Lepisosteus oculatus: one gene and its partner. The main gene of each other region encodes a partner of the protein of the gene in region 2 in a complex. Links are inferred from orthologs where the notes say so. Each region holds a gene or a part of one and is shown on either strand. Other genes may lie near its edges.

The links. Proteins that work in one complex are often made in the same cells at the same time.
Region 1: the proteins of pak4 (region 2) and inka1 are in contact, whole or in part, in a crystal structure (PDB 4XBU), measured with the Homo sapiens proteins. The link is inferred for Lepisosteus oculatus from reciprocal best matches to the Homo sapiens genes PAK4 and INKA1. Residues at the interface, in NP_001014831.1 of Homo sapiens: Ser331, Gln358, Arg359, Glu361, Leu362, Thr404, Asp440, Lys442, Ser443, Asp444, Phe461, Leu475, Val476, Gly477, Thr478, Pro479, Tyr480, Trp481, Met482, Arg489, Glu507, Glu512, Phe516, Asn517, Glu518, Pro519, Pro520, Met524; in NP_976248.2 of Homo sapiens: Gly178, Arg179, Ser180, Arg181, Gln182, Pro183, Leu184, Val185, Leu186, Gly187, Asp188, Asn189, Cys190.

The regions. Positions count from the first base shown.
Region 1 is NC_090699.1:53,994,552-54,002,015, reverse strand, and holds the start of inka1 (PAK4-inhibitor inka2), read right to left. Parts: upstream 3,018-7,464; 5' UTR 2,894-3,017; intron 2,768-2,893; 5' UTR 2,724-2,767; coding exon 2,721-2,723; intron 1-2,720. UniProt on the Homo sapiens protein: Inhibitor of the serine/threonine-protein kinase PAK4. Acts by binding PAK4 in a substrate-like manner, inhibiting the protein kinase activity.
Region 2 is NC_090698.1:5,422,803-5,429,737, reverse strand, and holds the start of pak4 (serine/threonine-protein kinase PAK 4), read right to left. Parts: upstream 3,081-6,935; 5' UTR 2,463-3,080; intron 1-2,462. UniProt on the Homo sapiens protein: Serine/threonine-protein kinase that plays a role in a variety of different signaling pathways including cytoskeleton regulation, cell adhesion turnover, cell migration, growth, proliferation or cell survival.

The DNA.
Region 1 (7,464 bases), on a different chromosome or scaffold from region 2:
AGGAGTAGGAGAAGTCATTTCCTTGAAACTGAGTCACAGGAACTTCAGATTGGCCAAAACAGACTAGTGGCAACTTAGAAGCATTCATACCATGCAACAGCTGGTTTTGAACTTAAACAGCTAATTACATTTAGTAAAATCTACTAACTTTTTCCTCCACCTAAGAGGCAAAAGTAATTGATTATTTTCACTACCTGGAATACTGTCAACGTGAGAGATGTCACCCCTGTTACTAACATAAATATACTGTATCTTGGCAAGCTTCATATGTTAAAAAGGAGGTTTTTAAAGTAAGTGAAATATATCATGAAACAGCATTGAGTGTTAAGAACACTACATAAATGCACTTAAATTGCTTATATGTCCTTTGGTCAAATGAAATCTTAATATGGATATTGCACAGGACATTTCCTTATCTTTTTTACAAAGACTTAGACTGATACTTAGTGTAATTATCACTGGTCAGTGTTCAAACATGGGATTTCCCAATATTTCTGAGCACTAAAATCATTAAATATAGACTTTTTTACATTTCACATTGTTCACCCTAACCAGGGAATGAACAGTAGATAGAAAATGGATGTATGGACATTTGTCACATCAATTTAGGATTATATTGTAATTGAACTAATAATTGTAACTAGTGAACTTTACTTTTTGAGCATAACAGATTATTTCTGTGGCTTTCACAACTGTATAACACATCCCTAGTTCATAGTCCTACAGGCTAAACAGTGCTTATTTGGAGTAGCTATGTTATCACAGCTGTGGAAAGTTAGCTCTTTGGCTCCAAAACAGGATCCTTGAGTGTGAGATGTATGGGGCTGGGTAAGGAGAAAGAAGGAAAGAGAACATGCTCTTTTTAATACTTCTTTCAGCACTTTATTTAAATACCACTTCTTTTAGGATTTCATTAAAAAATGTACTGAATTATTTTACCATAGCAAAAATTCCAAGATTGCTCAATGCCATTTTTACTAACAGTGTAAAGATAACAACTCTGAACAAAGCTGTGTTCTGGAGTGCATCTTGAAAAAATTAAAGAGAGCAGCTCTTGTACGTTTTTGGTTGGTCCTCTGCTTCCAATTGTCTTTATTAGTAAACAGTCCATCACAGCTGAAACCTAAACACACCTGAGGTCTTTTGTGAAGAACGTGAACTATGCACACTGAAGAACTACTTTTTTCACCCTTCTGTTTAGGTTTTAAAAGAACAATGTAAAGGAACGTTACATCCCAAAGGGAAAGCAAAGAGCTAGTAAACGCTATTTCTGCTTACGAATTGCAGCAAATTATCTGATCGCTTTATTGCCTAAGAATAAAGCATTGCCCAGAATAATTATCGTGGTTTCGTTTACTGACACATAAGTTAAATCAGTTCAAAAGCAGACGTAAAGCAATTAACCAATAAAAACTTTAAAAAATGTTAAACAAATGTAGTAGGACGCTTTCTGACCTGTAACAATACCTTGGCAGGTCTACCAACCTGAATACAAAGCCAACAGTTATGAGAAACAAGAATATCTCCAAATGACTCGTCCAGTATCACTCCATTCCAAGTTCCCAAACGGCAAAATACAGGGAATTGTTTCACAAAGAGGTTCAAGTCCCTCAACATCCGCCTAGTATAGTAGATTTCCTGTAATCTGTAGTACACGTTTACAAGAATCTACATTTATAAAACCGCCGCAAACCGCAGAAAATGACCAACAGTATGAAAAGATAAACTACAGTATTCGCAGAAATGATACCACTGATTTATGCGGTGCTATCAAATGCTATAACTCTTAAAACAATGTGCACATTTAATCTCTTAATAAACCATCTTATAAATATAACGCTGCATTGTGGTAACGTTTTTCCGTAAATTTGTCTAGAGGCCTTTCGCAATTATTTATTTTTCGTCGCCCTCTTGAGAACCTCGCGGCTTTTAAATAAAAAGCCACCATTTGGTTGCGTTTTCACGAGCACATGGCATAGAAAAACATCACACCAAGGGCTAGATCAGTTCTACTGTGGCAAAGTCAATAAAAGATTAAACGTTTCCCAATCCACAGTCTATTGGCTTTCTACACATCTGCATTGGATTGCAGCATAGCTTTCCTATAAGAAAAACGTTTTGCCACTCATACTTCAATAAACACATTTACTGATTAGATTTTAAAATTGTACCTCGGTTTTCATACCTTTTCAAGTTATCATTTTAAGCTTTTAGTGAGTCTTTGGTATAGTGGCTTTTTAATGGGGTTTACAGTATTGCACAGTATAGTACAGTAGATACAAATACTATTATCTATTTGTGCGTTAAGAACGTTATGGAAAAGGTGTTAGAAGCCTAGCTGTATCTCTTAAAGCAAAGTACCATACCACTTTACCATAGCTCGTCAAATATGATTTACCGCAAGACCCTACTGCTAATGTGCTAATTAAGGTGCTTTTTTCAAAGATAACCCATACTTCCTTGCATTGCCTGCATGTTCTGCAGTCTCCGAGAATGGTAACATATAGTTTCTCAAATAACTATAGCATGGTGGTTATCGGATACATGTCCCACACAAACTGACAGTTCTCAAACTTCTCTTAGTCATGCTTTCGGTGATCCAGCATCGTAACGTTATTATGATTATTCTAACTCCCATTAAAGTCAAAAGGCATTGCATGTATCGATGTTGTTTTTCACAGTAAATATAATCCAATTTTAAAATTAGTTTTAAAACTCACCATTTCCTTTTTAGTTAACAGCAGCCAGTTACAGCTAACCAGTTTTCCTGAAAGAAAGAAAAGGATGTTTAATCGCTGACCGTACAGAAATGAACCCAATTAGAATATTTACCGATTATATATAAGGAATTGTGTATATAGAAATGGAAATGTATATATATATAGAAACTTACATTGGTATGTGATTCGTTTCCAGATGCGTACGCGTAGTCCTTAATGCGCTCTACAAGTACACATGTATCTGCAGACGTTTCAGTACTCCTTTCAACCTTTAAAGCATTATAATGCAGGTCTAAATCTCCCTCAGCGTTTTTGTCCAATCTGTCCCCATTTCAGCGTGGGACTCTCCACCAATAGGAAACGTGCATCACCCTCTCAGCCAATACCCGCGCTCCTGAAATCCGAGACAATGTGGAGCACGGTTTTACCTCGCCAAGGTGTACCCCAACTAGCAGATTATCAGGCAACACCTTCGTGAGGGGGTTACCCACAGGGGCTCAACACAGGAGCAGCCAGGTGCCGAGATGGTATTGTTCAGTGGATATCTGGCAGTTTAGAAAAATAAATAGGGCGATATGGAACACGTAATGAATTGTTGGTTTTTTTCCTGCTGTCACTCGGTCTCTAAGTAGATGGCTAGCACGTTTCAACATCTCCCCGAAAACTACCTGGGGTGAATTCTATGTACAGTAAGAACACAATTCAATAAGCTACACAAACCCCTTCAGCATGGCATTCCTTTCTAAAATGGTTTGAACATGCTGTTACTAAAGCCCAAATAATTTACATGGAATAGCGGATAGTGAATAACTGTTTTTATAACCCACAGAGACTACAAATATGAACTAAAGTTGGTCAATCCATCCGTGTTTTTATTTGCAGTAATATTAGCTTGTTTTGCAGCAGTGTGATATATGCTCAGCTTTCCTAATGAACCATGCGCCAATGTCAGGATCAAAATAAGTTAATATTATTAAATTAATCTTTTAACCATCTCGAGATCTTTCCTGAGTGAACAGATGCACTGTTAATGTATTTACTCTATGTAAAATTGAAGGCATTTTTTCAGATATGCTATATTCAATTTGATTTTGATAAGAACGTATGAAAACTGCTAAGGAAATTCTTGCAAGAATTAAGTATAATACGTACGATTTACACCTGAAAGTTCTGACTTGCTTTTGTCTTCCGAAAACATTTTCTGCTTTACTAAATGCGCATGTTTATTCTACAAACATCACCTATTAAACCGTGTTTTGAAAACTTGTTTCACTTTAAAATAATACATGCTTAAATCGATGTGCTTCGTTTCTAGACAATGAAGTGACGTGACTGGGGTATCCCAATGTTTTAGATTTATATAAGCTCGCATAACAGTCTGTAAACATAATATCAGTTCTTATAATGGAAAGCACGCATGCTTTATGTATTAATCCTACATTAGGGGTTAGATTTAATATTTTATTAGCTTATCCCGTGCTGTGTTTAGATATACTGTGAACGTTTTTTTAATCATAGCTACATGTACAGTTACGCCTTGTTATAGGGGTTGTACAGTACATAAGAGAATAAACCTATCAACTCAAAAACGAACATTTTGTTGATCGCTGACAAGAAGAAAAGGACATACAGTGTGTAGCCTATGAGATAAGATGCTACTGAAAACATCTTCATAGCACTTTCACCATTATCTACAGTACGTACAGTATAATTAAGAGAACACCCATACTGATCTGTATTGCAAAGTGCGCCAGTTGCTGATTTCTGAGTTTCTGGAATATTATAGTATGCCTTTTGTCGTGTGATAGCCATTTCATGTCAAGCAGTGCCCAGATACTGTATTTCTTGAAACATATTTCTCGTATTGGATTCAGCGGTTATTGATAATGCACGGATAGATATTCTAAGCAAAACAGCCACTAATGATTGGGTAGTTGACCGCGATTCTAACACGATAATAACTAATAATAAATTATATCGCTGTAAAAGCAAACCTTGATGGGATAAATATTATATTTTTTTTCAATATGTAGAGACATATTTTACTTGTTTAGGGGATTTGTAAAATAGCTGATTAGAGCACATATAAGTTTTTAAAGGTAATTTTCCCCATCACAAAATGGTCTACGTTTTGCATGAATATATTAGACTAACGTGACATCTACTTTAAGGGGGTATATTAAATTATGCATTCGTAAGCCGTATGTAGATATTATATTATATTGTATTTAATCAACATTCTGTGAAAGACATTTTATCTAAAGTGAAACTGCAGCGTTCTCCAATTTAGGTCCGTTCCTTAAAATCAAATTTCTCTTCTTCGCTCTTTGCGCCTTTCTCAAGCACAGTGGACTACCCCCATCTAGCGTCTGATTTTAAACGCAGAGGCAGTGTAAATACACCACAGGCTTCATTCTTGTGTATCAGCAGCTACGCGGATGTAAAATGGTGTGAAAACTCATCAGTGCTACATTCCCGTAAACATTCCGAACATTCTCGCGTTCATCGCTGTTTTACAATGTAAATAAGACTGTTAACAAGCAGTTACCTTATGCAAAGATGTCAGCCTGGCCTTAGGAATGTTACACAAATTGTGAACAGCTGTTTTATAGAATACGATAAGCATAACAGCTACTCGTAGATCCTTGAAGAGAGTATTCCACGTGCAGTTTCTCAGAGCGTAGTACTGTGTGATGTCATTTGCTAAGAAAAATCATTCTTCTTTCTTGATTTCAGTCTGTATTTAGTGTCTAAATAGTTCCTTCAAGTTAACTCTTGATACACAATTTTGGGCTATTATAAGAGACGCCATTCATTAAAAACGTTAAGAAGTTTTCAGTCTTATTAATATACAAGCGAATAATGTTCTTTCGTGTTGCATAGTCTAATGACGGATCGACGACGTATCTGTTTTTAAATGGACCTTGTTTGAATCTGATAATGCGTCCACGTTTAGCGATTAGTAGCATATCTGTTGCAACAATGAAGTAGAAATGGTACTGCTTGCAATATTAGATTTTGTTAAAGACGCAAAGAAAATACTGTATTATTATATTTAAAAAATAAGTGTTGTTTGTATCAACATTAATAATAAAACAGTAACTGTAAGTAGTAATAACAATAATATTATGGTTAAGAATAAGTCGATAATATTGTTTGCTTACAACAATAATATAATTAAATTTTAAATAATAGCGATAATAATATTGTTCTTGAGAATAACAACTAACCACCACAATAACAGCTGCGGACTTTGCCTTTTCACTGTGTTAATACTGCCCTCTAGTAGCTTTACTTGGAACGGGTGGGAATAAAGGGATTTTCAAGGTCACTAAGAAAAATCAATATGATTTTGGCATCATGCTTCTCAAAGGAACCACATCGACCTCCTGACTTAAAAATAAACAAAGTGTTTATTACTGCATATTAGGTTGTACTTAATAATGATGTGAATAAAAGATGTGTTAACATTTCTACATCAATAACAGATTGTGACAACGCTTCAAAGATATTGTTGATGTGTGGTAAATATTCCAGGACCGTTTCTGAAAGAGAAAATGTTACAGAATAAATTATGGCAATAAATATACAAACACAAAGATTTAAATAATTTTCAGAAAGAATGTGGAAAAAAATGTCTTTGAATGCACCTTGGGCTACAGAGCTATCTTCCACCAATTACTTATCTGAGTTTATTCCCTGATGCATGCCATCAGAGTGTGAGCTGCCTCATCTGGTTGCAATCCCAACTCAAAATGATAAAATACAGCGGACAACGTCATCAGAAAGCTGTAAACCAGGCAAGACCAGGCAGATCTAAGTTTATATAACAGTGAATTACAGATCAGTTATGTGTATAGAGAAGGTATGTTTGATCTTCATGGCACTTGGCAACCCTCTGGGCTTACAGCTAAAGACAACAAAATTCTCAGTCTCCAGGACAAGATCAGTAAAAGTGTGTTTGCACCGCTGACTGGATTCTGGACTGAGAGCAATAGAAAAGCTCTAATAAGATGGGTCAGATGTCTTCTTATGGGCTGCTTTTCCCAGCTCTCTTTCATGTCTGTCTGCTTCAAGGTGAGAACGTTGGATTAGCTTTTCCTTTTAGCTCTAACTTTGTTCTTTCTTTTACATTTGTGTCCTAAATTGCATTAACGAGTGTAAATGTTAACAGCTGTATTGTTAAGCTTTTGTCATCATAAAGATTAGGTTGTTTCTCTTTCACCAACAGTGTGACAGCAGTAATACTGTTTGTTATGTTTAGCTAATTAAAATGCCACCACCAAATGTTGTATGATCAGTTTATTTTAAAATACTGTACATCAACGCTGTTGCTTCTTCCTACCTGACCTGGGTTCATTTTTACAAGTTTTCTGCAAAGCAGATAAAACAGACTTGAATTCTGTAAAGTGGTGGAATTATAATTAAAAATAAATAATATATTAAATAATAACACAATATTAATAATACAAATGTTTTATACTGCACCGAGCAATGATAAATTCTGGAACATCATGACATAACGACAGTGTCAGTGTCAGGGATACTCTCAGACATTAGGTCTAAGTAAATTAGCTTCATCATTTAATATGATGAGTTATTTATTGGAAAACAGATAATTCCAAAAAAATCATTTTAATTGCTGTATCATTTTCGCTTACCTGTTTTATCCTGTTTTTTGCAGTGTTCCCCCCATTGACATTTGTTATTTGTGCTGGATTGTGTGTGTCAGGATGTGACTATG
Region 2 (6,935 bases):
TTAATGTTATAACCTTTGACCTCTCGACATGAGGCCGGCCGTGTTCCAGGAAAGGAAGGAATGGATCCAAAGGGGAATGGCAGTCATGTCTAACTCAGCCACTCTCAACCAGCAGGCATGTGCCATCCGAAACCCAGATGCAAAACCAATTCAGAGCCAGACCTTCCACTTTGAGAGAAAAAGGAAGCTGAAGGAATTGCTACTGAAGATTATTAAAGCACATGTGACTCGCGTACTGGTCACTTTTATTTGACCACTATTTATTAGTGCACTAACCTCCTCCACTAACCTGAGAGTGCAGCGTGTTGCACTACTGACATTGCTATCCATGTGTTAACTGCCTTTTATGTGGGGAACAGTCACACGAATAACTAGAGAATAACAGAGTGTCTTGTTCCAGAGCGAAATATCCCTTTAGCCTTTATTTTTTTTATTTAGAAAACAAATGTTAAATATCGCCATCCGTCCATTTTCCAACTGCTTCTTCCGATTCACGGCCGCGGGAGAGCCGTGCCTATCCGGCCAAACAACGGGTGCAAAGGCGGGGTACCCCCTGGATGGGACACCAGTCGATCTCAGGCCAAACGCAGGGTTTTTTTTTTCCTCGCTAGAAGCCAATTAGCCTTCCAGAATGTTTTGGGATTGTGGGAGGAAACCGGAGCGCCCAGCATGAGGAGAACACGCCAGCATGAGGAGAACACGCCATCTCCACACAGGCAGCACCCCTGGTCCGGAAGTAAAGCTGGGACACCAGCAATGCAAACCACGGCGCCACCACGCTGTCCTGTTGAGTATCTGATCAGGAAAGTGCCCTTCAGAAAAAGGACAAAGAAGGTAATAATATTTACCTGTGTCTGGGACAACAGATGATTATTTAGAAGAAATTTTGGGGTAGAAGCAATTTAGACGTGAAGGACAGGTGTTTCAGGGAAGGGACATGTCAGGCGAGGAAGAGGATAAATAATGGCAAATGTGCTCATTGGGATTGCTGAACCCTCTGTCAATTTCTGCGCTGCTCCCTTGTTCATCAGTGATGCGGTTTTCTCGCTTTTACACGAAGTGATCAAATGAAACCTTTGAAGGTCAGCACTTAGCTTCACGGAGCGGCTTGACAGACAAACCTTAAACAACCCTGATCTCAAAACAACCTCACACACCCATATCTGTTTCCGCTGGCAGCTTTCTCCCAAAGAGTCTTATCAGTGAATTGTAAATCGTTATTGGGAACCAGCACGATGCAGACCGCACCGATCGATACCGTTAAATTACAAACAACAACAGCGACACTTTATTAAAATACCGGCGGTAGAATTACGATCCCAATCACTTATTAAAAAAAAAGCAGCAGTGTAATTGGAAGCACAGAAATTAAAAAGATAAACCCGAATGTAAGAGTCAACAGGTGGTCCATCACCAATGCGCCAAGAGCCTGCGATTTCATTTCTAAGAAATAAGGAAAGGCATTTCTGGGGGCGGCAGGTTTCTTCACAGGGAGGTGTCAAGTCCTGCACGTTACCAATATATCGCACATTTGCAGTCACATGATTTGCTGTGCCTCGGTTTCCCCTCTCCGCCTCACACCCTCATGTTCTCCCAACTTTCACAAGGGACGCCGCACACGACCACCCAGCCGGAGTGGACGGGGTGTCGGCGCCCCGCGGCACGATTACTCTGTATCAGCAGCGGCTACTGCGCCGCACGACAGTATTTATTACATACGATTTACACACACATATATATATACACACACAGTAGTCGTTTCTGCCGTAAGACGGGCACTAAATGCGCGCTGTGGTGTACGTGGAGATCAGCACTCGCCCAGGAGTATCACATGAACATTTCCCAAGTACAGCAGATGTCTTGATATGGTCCAATAATGGCTGCAAAAGGACTCGAAACACAGGACGGTATGTTGAATTGATCCAACATGAATCCGCTGCCGGAAAGTGGAGCAAACTGCATTTCTTCCCCGTATACTGCAGCTCATAATGATAAGTCACGCTGATAATAATCGTGTTTGGACTCGCGGAGTGTGCCATGCTGTAGGTCCACTTCAGAGAACTGCCCAACACATCGATCCAAACGCAGCCTGACCTGGACGAGTGACCACGACAGCCAGGTCTTGCGGTGTGCTCCGGTTTGATTTTTGTTTGTTTTGAAAACGATTGGGAAAAAAACAAACCACGACCGGACTTGCACAGATTTTCAGATACATTCCTAAATAGGTCAACGGTTTCGGTTTTCGCCGAAAGAAGGGCGAATAATCCACTAAAATTTAAAAACAAAACAACCTCCGATACTTGGACACGACCTAGCTCTTGAGCCACACCGCAAGTTTTCACAAATGACAAAGTAGAAACTGTAGATAGCCACGACTGAACTCCACTGACCCTTTCACAAAAGATACAAAAAATAATAAAATATAAAGCCAAACAATGTATGAAGTTTATATCGTTTCCTACCTGGGTGTTTCCTTGGTGTCTCCCGTTCTAAAGCAACTCCGAAAAACCCCAGCGAGTTTCTCTCTCTGCTGTTATTGATTATATCCTATTCCGTAGATCCCCAGCCGCGACCTCACTTTCTCGTCGCCATGTTGGGACAGGGATCGCAATATCCGGGACATTGGAGTCACTCCAGCTCCATAGCAACCAGCGTAGGAACTGAGCCCCTAGCAACCGCGGACTGACTGCTGGACAGTACAGGAGCCAGAGTCTCCGGACTTCAGTTTTGTCTCAGTAACGGACCCTTAAAATCGCCTCTGCCGCATTCGGTTTCGCTCCTTGTTATAGTCTAAATATAACATACTCTCCACCAGAAGCTGTTTTCCGAAGATGTAAAATGTAATTATGTCGCCGAAAGGGATTCGCCCTAAGATGATGAGATAGTTAATTGACAATATGTTAATTGCCTGCCAAGTCGATCGGATCTTTATCGTATTATGTTGGAGTCTAATGTGTGCAGTTTATGCTGCGGGCAAAAAAAACAACTGCAGGATTCCAGGAAAAAAAATATTTACCGCAAGATTGTGTGTGTCTGAATTAAATCAATCAGCTTTGCTGTTGTAAAGGGTACCTGCCTAAGGAGAAACTAAATCTTGAGAGCCGTGGGTGATAAAACTAACAAGTCTTCGTTAGAAAGCACGCCACCAGTAAGCAACGAATGAGCCTAACATGGACATAATAGTCATCATGTGACATCGGTAGAAGAGAAAAGGTCACGTTGGAGGAAAACCAGACCATACCTCAGAGTCTGGCTGTGTGTGTGTGTAGGGGTCTGTTCAGGATTCATTTAAAAGAAGATGGCTCTAAAATTACTTCATGTCTGAAACCTGCTGCACAATCGTGCTGAAAACATTGATCTGAGAATCAAATCGAGGCCAAATCGACAGCTCCAGACATTCACAGGGGTGGGGCTCATTTTAAATATCTAAGTGCTCCTGACTGCTAAGGTCATCGCACAATTCAGTGAATTACATGAATGGGCTTTTGTGTTCTGAGCCTAAAACATGTTTTCTTGAAGATGATATCCACACATCCTACATCTAACTGCTTTATCCAATACAGGGTGCCAGGGGAGCCAGAGACAATCCCTGCGATCAATGGGCACAAGGCAGGGCACACCCTGGGCAGGATGCCAGTCCATCAGAGGGCAGACACACACACAGACAACCCACACTTGCACCAGGGCCAATTTTACCAGAAGCCAGTTAACCTACTTAATTAAATTGGGGTTAAGATCTTACCATAACATCTTTGGACTGTGCACTGAACCAGAGAACCCAGCAGAAACCCATGCAAACACAGGTAGAACACACAACCCTAACCCCTAACCCCTCAAAGGGTTAAAAAGGGTTTTTCATTTGGTAGAAAAGCTAGTTTTTCATTGAGTGGGTGGTGTGATGTGTTCTCTTGCCAGGGGGATAAAATAAATGCAAATGATCTTTGAATGAATATTCGATGAATGTATTTAATATGCAACAGGATCTAGCATCGTCTGGAATGTGAATAGCTTGGAAACTAATATGCTTCCAACTTCAACCTATTTTATGTGAGGATGTGTGTTGCTAAGGATATGTATTCTGCAGAGAGTTTGTCACTTCTGTAGGAGTTCTCAGCTAGAAAATGGCAAGACAAAGTTCAATAATGCAGTGAAAGTGAAAAAGACATTTGCTCTGACTGCATCTGCTGAAAATGACAAGCAACACAACTGCAGGTTTTCAATATATCAGGTAACAGGAGATGGGAACAGCAGTAGTACGATACTGAAGGAGACGGATGTCAAAAATCGTTATTAATGGTAGCAGAAGCTCCTCTGTCTCGAAAATGACAACAAATCCAGGTGAAAACGCAATCAAATACCGAACGCTTAGTGTCACCCACCCAGATTAGGCTGGGGAAGGACATACTCAATGACAGGACGTTGTCCATAAACAGATTAGAACACACTTTCAAATTCAGTTTTCACATAAGGAAGTAAGAGGACGCTAAGTGGCCCATCTGGCCTGTTTGGGAGTTAGTAGCTAATTGATCCAAGGATCTCATCCAGTCATTGCTTGAAAGAAGCCAGGGGGTATCAGCCTCAACAGTATAGCTAGGTATCTTGTTTCATACTCCCACAACCCTTTGTATAAAGAAGGGCCTCCTGTTCTCAGTTTAAAATGCACGTCTATGTCATTGCATTGTGTCTCCTCTGGGTTGTGTCAAATTTGCTTGGAATGTAAAAAAAACCAACAACACTCATTTGGATCGAGAGATGCTGGTGAAACAAGAATATTGAAGGCGGGGTCCTCGGCTATACTGTTAATTTTCAGCTGTTTCAAATAGCTGAAGGGGTAATGGGATATACAAAAGGGAAAATAACTGGGCAAAGGCAAGAGAAAGGCTACTGCCTGCTGTACATGAGGAAATCAATACAGATGCATTCAGAACACAACCCCCAGGGCAGCCAGCGTGACTGCCTAACTATGGCAGTCTGAGGCTGTCATCTGTGAAATTACAGCTCAGCTCAATAAATAAAATGTTTTTTTCAGTTTATTTAACCCCCAACACTACAAACATATTAAAACATGCTCATATACCTGTTTTTAAAAAAGTATTTTCTTTGTTTCTTGGAAAATATCCTTGCTGGATAACTTAAAAACGAAATAAAATTCTATCTTATTTATAGTACCCAACATATGCATGCCAGATCTGTATGCATGCAAGTACAGCAGTCTGTGTACTGAATGCATTTTTGTGTTTAGGCTAAACAAAGTCAATGTTTCTTGTCTCCGTTTGATCTCCTGTCTTCAGAGGAGCACTGCAACTCTCCATGATGAAGATTGCTGACAAACAGTAACATCCCACCTGATACTGAACCACCATCATCATGCCCTTAATGTGGAAGAGCCCAACACTCAACAGCCACCTATCAAGAGACTGAAAACCATCAGACTCCCTTCCCTGAAGACTTAGGAACAACAAGAACTGAATTTCTTTAGTCTTGAAAAGAGAAGACTGTGAGGGAACCTGATTTAAGTGTTTAAAATCCTCAAAGTCACCAGTAAGGTTAACCCAGAGGATTTCTGTAGAGGGAACCTGAGGACACAAGGGAAACCTATATGTAAGTGAATTTAAAACAGAAAACAGGCGGCACTTCTTTACGCAAACAGTTGTGGAGGTATGGAGCAAGTTATCCAACCGTGGTGCTAAAGCCCAAAACCCGGCTTGCTTTCTTTGCATCTCTTTAAGGTCTTCAGAGCTTAGCAGAGATACACCAACTGTAGAATACATTTGGGAAAACATTGGTTTGAAACAGCTATTGTCATTTATGATGTCCACCAAACGAGAAGTGTTTTAAATGGTGAATTCAACACAATTTGAAAAGGGACCAGTTTATCCCACTGTATTCCAGGTGCAGTCGATGCCAGTGCAGCACTCTGTGGGGCAGAAAGCAGAGACGTCATCTTCTGTGAAAGACATGACAGTAAGAGCAGAGGTACGACCGTAGAGAAGCAGGGAGGAAAAAGACAAGCACCCCTAGAGATGCACACTGCTTGCACAACAGGAACTGCACTCAGTGGGTAAATGTCAGCATCGATCGGAGATTATGATCATGCATGCACTGCTACTTCCCTAGCCATTGTCAAAAAAAGCGGTAGACAAAGATGACGTGGGCTCCTAAGAGGCTCCATCAGTAAAGGCTGTGACAGAGTGCAAACTGAGGACCAAGGCCCTGACGTTTCATGTGTGAGCCGGGTCACTGCGGAAGCCAGCTCAGGGTTTCCCCGAAGGGTGGCAGGTTAGGGTGGGTGTGGCTCAGCCACGGTCCAGTCGACTCTGTGAACTGCAGGGCGTCTCCCTGAGAGAGGCACCTCTTCTCAGGCCTGGACTAGCTCTCCTGCTGGCACTGTGGAGCTCACAGCGTGCCAAATGGTGAATGCGTGTCAGAGAAAAAAAAGGGCACACGAATGAAATCGTAGAAAGAAGGCAGAGTCTCAATGCAACTGACAGTGCCAAACTGCCAGGATGTATAATCGACCTAGTCACACAGAGAGCTGCTTGCCTTGATGGGTCATAGGAAGCCAAAGACTATCCTGGAAGCACAGGGCAAATTTAGAAAAATCCATATCCATATGCCTGGAGGTGAGAAGACACCCAAACACCCAGAAGAAGACCATGTGAGCACTAGTGGAACATGCACACTCCACACAGACGCCACAGCAACCCAGGACCAGCCCCAGAGTCCAACAGCGGTGAGGCTGCAGTGCTAACTGCCTGCCACGCCACTGTGCGACCCAGGGCACGCAATAAAAGAAAAGGCTCATCTGCAATTCCAAAAAAAAAAAACTCCTTAAACAATCAGATCCTGCATGGGTTAACTGAGCACAACTGGTGGCCCTGCTGGGACCGCTGTGGGCTCCTGGTGTCGGCTGCTGGGGCTCAGCCGCGCCAGGG